2 linked regions of the Tamandua tetradactyla genome follow. The main gene of each other region encodes a partner of the protein of the gene in region 2 in a complex. Links are inferred from orthologs where the notes say so. Each region holds a gene or a part of one and is shown on either strand. Other genes may lie near its edges.

Region 1 (6,984 bases), on a different chromosome or scaffold from region 2:
GGGCCTGACCCACTGCCCGAGGCTGGATGTCCCCTGCTGCGCCCACCCATGGCACGTGGCTCTTACCTGCCAGCCAGACCAGGATGGCCAGTGGTCCAGGCACGCCTTCCCAGCTGCCTCCCATCTCAGCAGGTGTCCGTGCCCTGGGGAAGAGAGGGGGCAGGGGACAGTCCATCCGTGACCCGCGGGTGTCTCCTATTCACAGATGTCCTGGGCCCCCTCCAGGCTGTGGGGCCTTGGGGAGGGCAGATCAGGTCCCCCGTGCCATCAGCAGCACCCGCTCACCTGGGATGGCACCTTGTTCAAAAAGCAAATTCTCAAGCCCACCTGGATCTGCCACGTCAGAGACCCTGGGGGCAGGGCCAGCATCTGTGCCTCACCAAGCCCTGGGGGCGCTTCTGAGGCTCATTCAAACTGGTGTATCAGATAACCTTCCCTCCCTAACCCGAGGATAAACCATGGGATGCAGACAGTAAACCATTACCGGCAAATTACCGACCAGGACCTGAAGTGAGGGCTTACTTCCGCTCACTTTAATCAGAATGCTTCAACCATTATGGAAAAAAAATCCTGCCTCCAAGTGGTTTACTTTTTAAGAGGGGTAAGAGGTGATAAAACCAATGCCTAGGTTATACAGCCTATGGGAAGGTGGGAAAGGGATGAGAAATACAGAGCAGGAGGGAGCATGGGCCAGGGCACTGGGAAGGCTGGGCTGGCTGTCATTTCCAAGATGATAGCCAGAGGACACGCCATCCAGAAGGTGACCCACAGTGAGACGGACAATGAGGTGGAGGGACAGCCCTGCAGATATCTGCGGGGAGAGCTCTCCAGGCAGAGAGCAGGTGCAAAGGCCCTGGGGTGGGGCCGAGCGTGGCATGTGAGAAGCTGCAGAAAAGGCAATGTGGTTGCCCTTCCCACAGCCCCTGTGCTCTCTAGAACTCTCTTGCTCACTGGTCACCCTGCATTTATTCTTTGTATTTCACTAACAAATGAACCGCAGTGCACAGAAGGAGAGCAGAGGTGCACTGGCCAATGGCCCACATTTTACACTGAAGTTACTGGGTATTTATGGGTCACGAGAAGGAACCTGGGGTTTCCCATCCCTTTGTTTCCCTGGATCCTCTGAAAACAAAATTCAACATTTGTCCTAACAATATAATTACTAGTGTCCATAATTCAAGATGCAAAATATTTGTGCTGTAGGACCCCTGGGTAACGGCACCATACCCCTTGACATCCTCTAAAACAGGCTCAGCAGAGCTTCCATGGCCAGTGGTGCAGCGCTTGTACACAAACTGAAATGAAACCATAGCCGGCCTGTGATTTAGTCAAGATCCCATCTGTGAAGCATCAACTAAATCATTTACTGGTCTTTAAGTTTCGATTAACACGCCTCTGCAGATAAACCACTCTGGTGGTTGTTTAGAACAGAAACCTACAGCAGAGGAGGGGGTGGTGCTGCAGAGGTATAAAAGCTTACACATTATATTGAAAGCAATAAATGAGAAGCATGGACCAGGCATTATTGAAACTGTAGCAACAGATTAAGATCAGATAGGAAATACTTCTAGTCGCTGATCACCGAATTGAGTCATGCTGGGAGGTTATTAAGAGCTCCACTCTGCCAGTGTCCTCACACACAAGGCACAATTATTTTCTGTATGACAATGACTCTGTTGATAAAAAAATCCAGAAGCTTTAAAAATACAAACCCCAGGGCAATGCAGGAACCCACTGAGGGCCACGAGCGTCCAGCTGTGAGGTGGGAGCAGATGTGGGTTGGCGAGGCAATGATATTGGAGAGGTGTGGGCATGAGGGAAACTGTTATAAAGCTAAACTGAAACCAGACCTATTCCCCTTTAACGAAGTCAGGTGTAGGCCAGGCATTTGTAAGTTCATGTCTCTATCGGGTCATCTGACTGGAACGTGAGACTTAATTTCTCATTCATTTCATGTTGGAAGACTCGAATTGTCTAATTTCAGTTGAAAAGCTGAGACACCTTCTTAAGAAACCCTAATTACGTGTACCATGTGGGTGGACTCAACCCCAACCATTTCCTCACTGCACAGAAAGGCGGGGAACAAAGAACCCACCGAGCTGGCCATCCTGGGGAAAAGCACGCCTGAATCGGCGTCTGGCTTACTCACCACCCACCACCCCCACCCTCCAAAACCTTCTTTCTGGGTTGTCGGGAAGTTTGATCTTGTTCCCTCCACACCTCCCGTCTCAGGCAGCAGTGGGAAGCCTGGACGCAAACGGAGCAGACGACAAGCTGTGGCTCAAGGGCAGCTTGAGAATGAGCTGCCACGAAAACCAGGCCAGGGATGTGCTCAAAGCCACTCCACCAAAAGCAAGAGGCCCCTGCGTTTCTCCACCTCCCACCAGCTCCAGGTTCCGGGGTGCCCTGCGGTGGCCCGCGGGGACTGAGCCTGAGAACTGCCAGGACACAGGGCAGCGGGGGAGCATGGGCGGGCGCTTTCAGGGGGCAGCGGGGGTCCTGGGAGCTCCCCAGCATTTCAGGGCAGACCCCAAATCCCAGCAGGGCCTGGCCCCAGCGCCCCCTGAGCGGGGCTCCCTGTGTCCCTGGGCGGGCTGCCGGGGAACCTGTCTCAGGTTTCCGAGTCCTCACCACCACCCAGCCTTTTAATGTTTAACTCTGCAGAAACCGGGAGGCAGGTCCATGCTTTCCCTGGGCAGCCCGGTCAGTGGCTTTCCTGGGGCCGGAGCGGCCCTGGGCAAGGGGCCAGGAGTTGGGGAGACCCGGGTGTGTTGGGGGGGTGCCTAGGCACACCCCAGTTAGAAGAGGCCCGACGAGCTTGTTCTCACCTTGGGCAGGCAGATCTGTCCCGGGCTTCAGCAGACGCGCTCTGCTTCCTGAAGGCTCCCTTTTCACGCAGAGGCAGAAGCTGCGCGGCCCCTGGAGAATTCCATCCTCTCCACAGGGACCAGGAAGCTCCTCCTGGAGCGGCCCCGTCACTCACAGTCCGGGATAAACAAGGAGGTGGCCTTCCCCGGCCCCACACTGCAGGGCGGGCAGCACCCGAGGGGCAGGTTTCCTCGTTAATCATTAGCCGCCCCAAGCAGGAAGCCAAGTGCAGGCCCGAGGCCCAGCACCAGAGCCCCCCAGCCCCCCGGCCACCCCCAGGGCCCAGCCCACCCTTGTCGCAGGTCCCTCCCGAGGCCGGCCCTGCCCACTGGGTCCTCCCCCCCGGCCCAGCAGCTGGAAGGGTCAGGCCTCCTCCCGCCCCGTGCGGGTCTCGCCTGGGCCTGCGCCCTCCTCGCCTCCCGCAGGGACCCCAGGTGGGAAGGCCGGTCCTTCTGCCTCAGGCACCAGCACCCCTAGGATGGCAGCCCAGGTAGAGGAAGGCGTCCTCTGCCCCAAGGCCTGGGGAGCGGGACAGTCTCAGGGACAGGGTGGGCCCCGAGAGCAGCCGCCCAGGCCTGTGCTGGGGGGCGCTGTGCGTGGGCCCCCCTCCTCACCCCAGCTCGCAACGTGGCTTTCTAAGAGCACTGCGACCATGTCTGGAGAAGACCCCCTCCCTACACCCCGAGGGGGCCTGGGCGCAGCTCTCAGGCCCTTCTGGAACCCCTGGCCTGTCTCTGTGTCCCCGTCACACGTGACCTTCCCTGGGGACAGTGAGAAGGTGGGGACCCCCCACGCAGACAGAGGCTGAGAGCAATGGGTGGGGAATCAAGGCTGTTCCGCCAGTGTCAGGACACTGCCCCCCGTGTCCTCTCAGCCATTGGAGCAGACCACTGGGATGCCTTCAGTCCTACTGCACAGGTCACTGCGCACCCGAGGAGCTTCTCCTGACCCCAACACCCTCTCTTCCTGTCTCCTGATGGAACTTCCAGACCATAGGCCCCCGAAAACAAATAAAAGTAAGTGTGTGGATGAAGCTCCTTCCCTTTCGCAACTCAGAAACTTTTCTAGGCCCTCTTCTGCAGAAAATGGCCATAATTGAAAATTTGTGCTTTGACTGACGTCCTCACCAATTCTAAGTTACACACACTTTAACCTCCAAAGCTTTAGTGTTTACACGAAATGCCAGTTTTTACCAGCAATACTTTTTCTTTTCGGCCCAAAGTTCTCTTTCTGCACTGTGTTACTCTGACTACGTCTTACTTAAACCATTTTCATTCCCAAGTTTCCTTGCCTTTGCACCTTAGCAGTTAATTAGAAATTTAGCATGTTTTGAAAGTCACTCGAGGAACCTACTCAATGCAAAAAAAAAAAGTGCAATATGAAGTCCACCAGGAGAATGCACTGAAACAACCACATGTATTACTGACCTAGGCTTATTAGTGCTATTAATGTAAACATGATTCAACCAAGCATTTGCCCTGCTCAACGAAGTCGGTGGGCTTTAGTGGATATAATGGATGCTCACTATCCTTACTGACTTGCCCGCACCTTTTGTATCTCTCAGGGTAACTTATGTGTAAGGCAGGCCTGCTGCTCCAGAGCTCACCTGAACTCTTGGGGTGACATCGTCAAGTCAGCCTTGGACACCCTGACACCTCCAGGTCACCTGGCCGGGTCAGCCACGTCACTCACTAATTACATGTGATTGATACTCAGAGGACACTTACCGTCGCCGCAGTCTTCCAGGCAGAGGGAACACGGTGTCCCCCAGCCCCGGGACTGCCCGCAGGGTACTTCGGTCCTGCGGAGGAAGGACAGGCTGGGGGAGAGCCCCGCCCCACCCACGGGAGCCCCCGGGGGCCAGCCCCCAGCCCTCCATGCGCGCAGGCGCCTGCCAGGCCTGTGTAACTAGCCTGTGGGATGCGGCAGGACTATGTCACACATAGTTCTCATAAGTGATTACAGTAAAACCAGCCTAGGATCGTGGAGCCCGAACTTGCTCTAAGAGCTTCGCATTATCCCCCCAGCTCCATGAGGTTATGAGCTGCGTTTTACCCACAACGAAATGGAAAGAAGAATAGGTGAGACCCAGTTCCCTTCGGAAGAGCCCACGGAGGAGGCAGACGGTTTGCTCTTGAATGACGGTGTCTAATGCTCATTCATTCACTTAATACACATTTTTCAGGGCTGGGCCTTGTGCGAGGAGCTGGTGGGGAAAATGGTGGGCAAAACACTAGGGGGTCCTGCCTCTGGGGAGTCGTATGCTCCAATCGCAGCATCTTGTTCATGAGACTCATCTCTGAAGGCCGAGCCTAACTCTAAACTCAAATAATTCCAGAACCGTGGGTACAGGAACGCAATCCTAAGGCCAGTGTGGTGCATTTTTGCCCTGATTCTCCTCTTTTCCTTTCTCACGTCAGTTCTGATGTTTGGAGGCCTGGGGACGGGCTCTCCTCGGGCGACGACGGGTGGCTTCCCTCCAAGGTCGTCAGCCCAGTGTTCAGAGCTGCGCCGGCCCCAACCCCAGCACGGTATTGATGATACCGGGAGGGCTTCCAGAAAGCTTTTGAGTTATAATAGCACGAATGCCCTAACGCTGTGAGCATCACCAAAACCACTCACAGCAGCTCGGTAGCGAGTTTCCCCCAGCCAGGCTGGGTCCTGAGAGGTGCCTGTTCAGCACAGACGGACCACGGAGTGCTGAGCTCACAAAGTCCCCAGGAAGGCAGCTCCGGGGCTGGGCAACGCCTCAGGGTTTTTTAATTAATTTATTTTTTTGTAATTTGCATTTTTTCAAAGTTTGACTATAGAGACATTCCTAATATTCTTTACATACTCCAAAATCTCAAAATTCAAACTCACATAAAGCATATTCACATTGTAATTCAAATTGCGTTAAAGACTCTGAAGGAAACTTCCAGGAGGGTGGCAGCGAGGGCCACCTTGATGAATGTGGGAGCGAGGCCCAGGGCCTCTCTGAGGGACTGTGTTGAGCTCAGACGGGGGTAGGGACACCGTGCAGTGAGTGAAAACAGTCTCTAACGTGTGCTTTAGACACGTTCCAAGAGAAGATGCTCTATGAGAAGGAAGATGGCAGCTGCTGGAAAACTGAAGGCCTAGACCTAGAAATGGGCACAGTGCCACCAAGTGGGTTTTCTAGTGCTGAGTAACAAAGTACTGCAGACTTAGTGGCTTAAAACAGCCCCACGTGCAGTCTCTCAGTTCTTTGGAAGAGAGATCTGGACAAGTTCGGCTCAGTGCTCTGCTTAGGGTCTCTTAAGGCCAAAATTAAGGTGTCAGTCCCACTGGGTCCTTACCTGGAGCTTCGGGGAAAGCATCTGCTTCCCAGCTTATGCTGTTTTTAACCTAACTCATTACTTGTGGTTTGGGGACTGAGGTCCCGTTTCCTTGCTGGCTGCTGCTCTTGGCTCCGATAAGCCACCCCCTTCCCTGGCACCTGGCATGGCCCCCCCAGCTTCACACCCAGCAACAGGGCATCCCACCCTCTTCTGCCTCAAATTGATGACTTCCTCCTCTGCTCCCAGTTGGAGAAAATGCTCTGCCTTTACAGGGCACATGTGATTCAATTCAGCCCATTTGGAGAATCCTCTTTGCCCTATACTGTGACACCCCCAGACAAGAGCCAGCTCCCCACAGTCACGGGTCCCCCCCACCCCCAAAGGGGAGGGGGCTGCACAAGGACGTGGGCCTGGGGGCTCATCTTGGAGTCCTGCCTATGACAGTCACATCCATGCATCCTCTCAGCCAAGTAGGCGTGGGGTCCAGACTCCAGGAGAGGCCTTGGACACCCCACCTCTCAAAGGGAACCATGTCCAAGATTTGGGGTCATGTGTCAGAAGCACTGCATCCCCCAGTTGTTTGGGGTGTGAGAGCCGGACATGAAGGAGAGAAGGGGATGACCTGTGTTAACAAGCGGGTCTGAGACACGCAGGCCTCCAGCTCTGGACCTTGGGTCTCACGATTCTGCCGTCCTCCAAGTGACGAGAGACACTGCAAGGGCCACGTGCTTTCCTCAATGGGGAAAAAGAAGCAATTTCAGCTGCTGGGTGAGAGACCTTCAAAGTGTGCAAACTCTTTTAAAAGCATTCACCAGCT
Region 2 (6,963 bases):
AAAAGTGTCAAGGTCATGAAAGTGGAGGAGAGAATAGTATGGAGAAATTGTTCCATACCAGAGCAGACTAAAGGGACATGACAACTAAATGCAACACTTGGCTCAGAAATGTGCTCTTTGGCCATACAGGATAGTTGGGACAATTAGAAACAACTTGAATTGGCCTGATGACTAGATGACAGTTGATGAAAATGTACTGGGTTCTGTGAGTGGATAGTAATAATGTATCAGTGTTAATTTCCTGATTTTGATGGGTATAATGTGGTTATGGAGGAGAATGTCCTTGTTAATAGAAAATGCACACAAAGTGTTGGGGGATAATGTGGCATCTCATTGATAGCTAACTCTCAAATGGTTCAGGAAAAAGATAGTGCAAAAGTTCTATTACCATACTTTTCACTGTACTGTACTTGCAACTTTTGTATAAGCTTGTGATATTTTCCAAAAAAAAAAAAATCTATATAGCAACATCTGGTCTATAGATCTACAGCTATAGTTATATTTACATCTACATTGATGTGTCTATATCTATATCCATTGTAATGAATATGCTAAGTCAGGAAGTATAATGCTTCCCATACTTGGCAGGTCACAGGTACTCAGAGGCTGCTTTGGGTGGAGAAAGCTTGGGGCAGTTGCCCTAAAGGCAGAATCCAGGTTTATCTGCTGCCTGCGGCTGCTCTGCCAAGGCAAGAGAGGTAGGTAATCTTCATCTCTCTCATTTAGTAAAGAGTGGACAGATTCCTGAACAATGGAAAGAAAGAGGATGCTGTACCTGCAGAGATGATCACACAGTCCATCTAACTTATCTGACAATGGGCTCATCTGCTAGAACCAAGACATGGAAACACTTGAGGTCTCCTTTGTCCTCTTAGAATAGTCTGTGAGATAAATAACTGAGGGGCAGTTCTTCGGTGTTCACCTGTAATCTGGATTGTGAGGGGAGACCATGTTCATTTGAGACTTGGTCTAAAGTATCATTAAGAAAAACCACTGCCAGTTAGGCACCTTGTAAGGCTTGGAACCTGGGATACATCTTCTATGTGTTCTGTTTCTAATCATCACAATGGTTCTTCAAGTTAAGTATCATCCCCATTTTATAGATGAGGAAATAGAGGCTCAGGGACGTTTAATAACTTGGTCATGTTATGCATCTAGGAGGAGATCATGCTGGGATTAGAAAACCAATCTGCAGAGCTCTTTTTACAGTTCTATGCCACCTCTCTACACACAGGCCCTCTGCTGTGTAGCCTTCTTCCACTTCACCCAGAATCCAACTCCCACACACTGAGCAGATCCTGACTCCGAGATTCCAGAGCATTTGTCACAGAGCACACAGTTAATTGTGTATAGCTAACTCACAAAAGTTTGATGAAATCGAGGACAGGAACCCCCTATCTGTATTCCCAGGCAGATGGTAATCATTTCCTGAAGAGCATTTACTGAGCACTTATTATGTGCCAGCAAACCTTCATAGCATTATCTCATTTAAACCTTAATACAATTCTATAAGGTAGGCATTCCCATTATTCTCATTTTACATGTCAGTAAACTGGGGCCAGAGGGATGAATTAAGTTACCCCAGAATGCAGTACTAGTAGGAGATGGAACCAGGATTCAAGGCCAGACAATGTAATCCCCCAGGCCAGGCTTCACCCCTCTGCCCTACTGCCACCGTCTTGCTGTAAATGTTTTCTGGTTGAGATATATTTCAGGAACTCTGCTGATCTGAAATGCTCTCCCCACAGAGCAAGCTTTCACCGTATGCAAAGCCCATGTGTGAAGCTCACCTCCCCAGGAGACTATTCTCACACACAACCTCTGCCTCTGGCTCCCTGGGCATAGAGCTGGCACCACATCCTGACATGTGACCCAGAGTTGGTTCCAGGGGACATAGTCTATCAGCATTTGTTGAACTGTCTTCAATTCCCAAGAATGGAAGTAAACAGGAATCAATAACAAGGGGGTATATTGCACTGAATGCTGTCACTATCTATTTCAGGATTTTCCAGGAGCGTCCCAATTTCTAAAATCCATTTTCTCATCAGACTATTTGTCAGAATATGTTCCAGAGAATGTCGCCTGGTGTTTGTTTAGAAAACACAGTCAATATTCTACTGAAAAGAGGCAGGAATGGGGGCAGGAGTTGCTGCCAGTGACCACCTACCTATGTGCCCTTGGGAAAGTCACAATTTCCCTGGAGCTAAATTTCTCCACGGGTGAAAATGCAAAGACAATACCTGCTCCTACCACAGAAATGAAACAAAACATTTGTGTGAATAGGGATAAAGTATAATGCTACCTAAAATCCAATTACCATGAAAAGAATTGCTGATGTTTACCCTGGCTTGCATGGCAAGTGTTTTTCATTGCTGAGAATAAAGGAAGAAAGAGGTTTATATGAGGAGCAGTGAGGAAAGAAAAAAAAATGGATGTAAGAAAAGCAAATGTCCTGGGGCCTTTCTAGGTCTTGAAAAAGACATAGCTAGATACTTCTGCCTCTGTAAGAACTTGATTGTATGTGTGTGTTTGTCTCAGGTAAAGGCAGATGTCAGAGACTAGGGTGTCAGGGGCAGTTTTCCCAAACTGTGGGGGGTCCTGGCAGGTGGAGAAACTAGGCAGGCATCTTACCTTTGCTTCGTTGTGGATCAGTCCCCAGTTGTGTGAAGGCTCAGGTGACAGTCCGTTTGGAAACTCAGCTTTTCTGCACAGAAACATTTTCTTTCTTTTTCCTGGGTCTTGTCTCCCAGACGCACATGCAGACCATCCACCTGTCTACACTCAGGAGTAAATCAGCGCACCGCCTGCCCTTTCTGTGAGGCTTTGAGCAGAGCAGACCCATAAACCCCGAGAGCAGCCAGTGGGGAGCCGTGTGGGAGAGCCGTACCCATCCCCCACCCCTCACCTCTGAACAGCCACTCATTATCGTTAGTGACATATCTGCCCTGTTTTGAATGGGGCTGAGGCTCCTTGGAACTTCCTTCTGCTCACGCCAAAAATCGGGATCCTTTTGTTCACCTTTAGGGCTGCCAAGTCAGGCCTACCGCACCCTTGGTTGTTGTTTTCCTGCAGGCATTGGGAAAATGAGCTTGGAGCCAGGAAAGGGAAATCAACAAGGAAACAAACACAGCGTCACTGCACCTTCAGGTCATCATTAGGCCTGGGACATCCTCCTGCTTGGGACTAGTTGCTAAAGAGACAGGGGCTTAGTAGCTCCTGGACTGGTCTCAGAATCCTGAGCATCTTTTTGTTTTCAAATGTACAAAGAAACACGCTAAATTACCTACATTAGACAAATCAAGCAATCATGATTTTTTTTCCAGTATTATGCCAAAACTTCCAAAGATTTTCCATAAGCAGTACCATTCATAGGTGAACAGCAGTTAGTGTTTGCAGAAAAAGAATGAACAAGAATATGGCTGACATTATGTATGATTTTTAAACTCTAATGATATAGGATTCTGCTCATTCTTCGTTATCACCATCACCATCACCTTCAGAAACAGCAGCAGCATCAGTAGTATCTGTGCTGATATTTGTTGAGCATTTTACTGTGCCAGGCCCTGTGCTAACTTCCTGACCTGCATTACTTCATCTAATTCTCACTATAATCCTATAATTTTCATTTTGTAGATGAAGAAATTGAGGCTCAGAGAGGTTTAGACACTCCCACACAATGACCCAGCTAGTTCAAAATTTAAGAATTGCATTGCTGAAACTGTTTTTCTCAGTCTTGCTTTTTCCACCAGGTAGGCTTAAATATTTCTGGGGGCTGATAGTTTCAGTGATGGCTAAAGACCTGGCTTAAATGAAAGATTGGCTCTGGGAATAGAATTCTAATTCATCAGTTAAAGTGGTCTCTCTCCAGATATGTTAATTGGTGCTATCTCATGTTCAACAATCAAGTAGGTCACATATAACCCAGGCACCTACTGCCTTCTCTGATCAAACCTGGTGCTGCTGGCTTCTGACTGTCTTTGATTCTCCACTGTCTTTTTTTTTATTTACAAGCAAGGATGTGCTCTATAAATCTTTTGGCCTCCGTGTGAGTTTTGGTCATGGCTCGATCACTAGTTTGTTCTTTTGACTTCAGGAGCCTGACAGTTACAAGCTTCTTTTAATCAACAATTCATGCAAGGGATGAAACTAAGTTCCCAGCCCAGAAACTTCTGCTGGTGAGAAATCAGCACATGTGGCTTTCAGTCCTCAGGTCACACTAGACTTTCTCGGGTTTTATTGCCTTCATCTTGACTTCCAATTGTTAGCAATTAACTCTCTTGTGCCATGGTGGTTACCCCAAGACAGCTGGCAGGTAGTCAAAGGAAAGTAAAACCATTAATTAGCAGGCATGGAGATGGCTCCCAGAGAGGACCAAGTTGTCAGTTTTCACAAATATACAAGTTGCAACATCATGACAGTTGCTCACCCCTGTTGCCCTTGGATTTGGTTTGGGGGAGCTTGGAGTATTTTGCCTTAGGGTCAAATGAGACTTCAAACTTGAGGTTGGTCAGCTTTTCATTCTTCTTAAAGGAGACTAAAGACAACTTCACCAGAGCTGCAGCGATAAAGAGGAAGATTGGAAAGAGTCTGGGCATTTAGCTTAGATATCATTTCATTTTTCTTTCCCAGTAGTTTACAATTAAATGCAGCATCTAGAAATGTTTACAGACTCTGGTTTTGGAGTTCTTTGATGAAGAGAGGCAATTTATAACAGTCAAATGGGCCTTTCAACCTTATCATCTGAAATGAAAAACCAAAATGTTGGAAAGGAGCTGATGTAATGGAAGCTTTCATGTTCCTCATCTGCTTCACAGCAGATTTGGGGACTGCCGGAAGCTTTGGGATTTTCCATTCAGAAAGGTAAGGTAGATGGATTTTATTTCTCCTTCCTCTCCTCTGAGCATATGGATCAGTACTGATTGATTCAGTTCCAAGAGTAGGGTCCATTCTGGGATTGATGATAAACACACACACCTCAAAAAAATTTTTTTTGCATGGTCATGTAACCAAGGCAGCTGATTGTTTAAAACTGGAAACAGAAAGAAGTCACGGATGAAAACAGGACGTATTAATTTAGCTTTACAAACGTGCCCTTTCCAAAGCCAGAATTACTCACTGCCTGGCAGCCCACAGCATGGAGACCTGAGCCTGCTTAAACTCTATGGCTTAAGAGTGTCATTTCCATTTGGTGTGGGAGATTCTAGGAGAGTGACAGATTCCAACTCAGCAGAAATGTCCAGATGTAATTAAACCCTAATAACTATGGGAAAGTAAGCATGCCTTCACTATAGAAGGACAAATGGCCTATTTTTAGAGTGTTCCAGAAAAGTAATATGCCCAGTTACGTGCAGAGAAAATTGTCTCATTCTTGGTGCATTTTGAAGGAAGGATATTAAACCCAAGAAATGTAAAATGATGGAGCAGCCATTTCAGTCTTCTAACTGGGACAAAGAAATCATCTGACCCAGCTTTCTTTCGCTCAGGCCCTTTTTCACCTTTACAAGATACTCAGGATGAAAATGGATTTATCGTATTAGGAGATAGAAAATTGTTTCTCTGAACTGTTACAGACTGATTGCCTTCCTCTCCCTGATCATGAGTATGCAACTTATAGTTTGCCCACCTATCCTTACAAATGGATTGGACAATGAGGGAAAGCTTGAAGTACCACGATAAAATCATATAGAGAAAGCCCCGGGAACCTCTTAGAGCCAAAACAAAACAAAACAAAACAAAACAAAAAGCACAACTTCCTCTTTGAATTCCCTCTTGAGTTTCTTCCTGAAAGCTTTTGAAATTTGAAATCTCCACCAAGGTAGCCAACTCAGATCAAGCCCCTAATTCAGTATATTTGACCCAATACCAAATAAAGCCCATCTGTGTTAAACCCACGTAACATTGGATGGAGGACAAACCTCCATCCAATCAATAGGAGTCAAGGTGACTTCCTTTTTATGTTTATAAAAATTGCTTGCCTTCCCTAGGAGCTCAAAGCTGCTTCATTTTTGCAAGTGATCTGGCTTACTTGCTACAGCAAAACTTTTGGTGTCTTGAAGAAAATGCTGTAATCTGCAGACTCAACTCTGTTTTGTCTTTCTACAACCATCTCTATGCCAGCAACTCTCTCATTCATATCTCTCTGGTCCAGACCTCTCTTCTACTTTTCAACTACTTTCTCGGTGTCTCACAGCCATCTCAAACTTCACACATCCAAATCCGACTCTTAATCTTTTCCCCTTCTTCCTCCTGTTTCCCAGTAAATGACCTTTTCATCCATCCAAGTGTTCCACGAGTATGCTCTACGAATTATACCTTCGAAATTTATATTAACTTCAACCAGTGCCCTCTGTTTCTGCTAACTTCAGTCTACCCATCCACCCTTTCTCATCCAGATTACTGCAGTTAGTCTCCTAAAAGGCCTCCTTGCCTCACTTCTTGACCTCAGTCCCTCTACCAAATCTAGACTTCACACCACATCCAGACTAGACTTTTAAGAAGGAAAGTCAGAATATGCCATTAGCCTGTCAAAAAGCTTCAAGGCTTTCCATTGCATTCACAATGAAATACAAAACCCCTAACATGGATCACTAGATTTGGCACAATTTGGTCCCTGCTCACCTCTCCAACATTGCTTCTGCTACATTCTCCTTCACTGAGTACCCTCCAGCCATACGAGCTTGCTGCCTGTTTCTTGAATGCTCAGGAATGGCTTTGCCATCCCTGAGCTGGTCCCCACTGACCTCCGCCCACACACATGCATGCACAATACCACTCTGTTCTCTTTCCCTGTCTGCCTGCCTAACACGTTCTCCTTTTTCAAGTCTCAGCTCAAATGTCCATTTCCTAGAGATACCTTCCTCTTTTTCCTGATAGCACTTTATACAATTTTAAAGTCTATTATTTATTTGCCTAGCTGCTTAATATAAAACAGAGTTTACTCATCAACACATACCCCATCTCCTA

What was found. The genes of interacting proteins can lie anywhere in the genome.
Region 1: the proteins of LNX1 (region 2) and IGSF5 are in contact, whole or in part, in a crystal structure (PDB 3VQG), measured with the Mus musculus proteins. The link is inferred for Tamandua tetradactyla from reciprocal best matches to the Homo sapiens genes LNX1 and IGSF5. Residues at the interface, in NP_001153049.1 of Mus musculus: Gln396, Leu397, Gly398, Ile399, Lys400, Leu401, Val402, Phe413, Leu416, Pro446, Ala449, Ala450, Ile453; in NP_001171358.1 of Mus musculus: Val367, Thr368, Leu369, Val370.

Annotation. Positions count from the first base shown.
Region 1 is NC_135336.1:97,013,799-97,020,782, reverse strand, and holds the start of IGSF5 (immunoglobulin superfamily member 5), read right to left. Parts: upstream 3,062-6,984; 5' UTR 2,829-3,061; intron 144-2,828; 5' UTR 125-143; coding exon 67-124; intron 1-66. UniProt on the Homo sapiens protein: Provides, together with MAGI1, an adhesion machinery at tight junctions, which may regulate the permeability of kidney glomerulus and small intestinal epithelial cells. Mediates calcium-independent homophilic cell adhesion.
Region 2 is NC_135345.1:53,898,009-53,904,971, forward strand, and holds the start of LNX1 (E3 ubiquitin-protein ligase LNX), read right to left. Parts: upstream 3,049-6,963; 5' UTR 2,632-3,048; intron 1-2,631.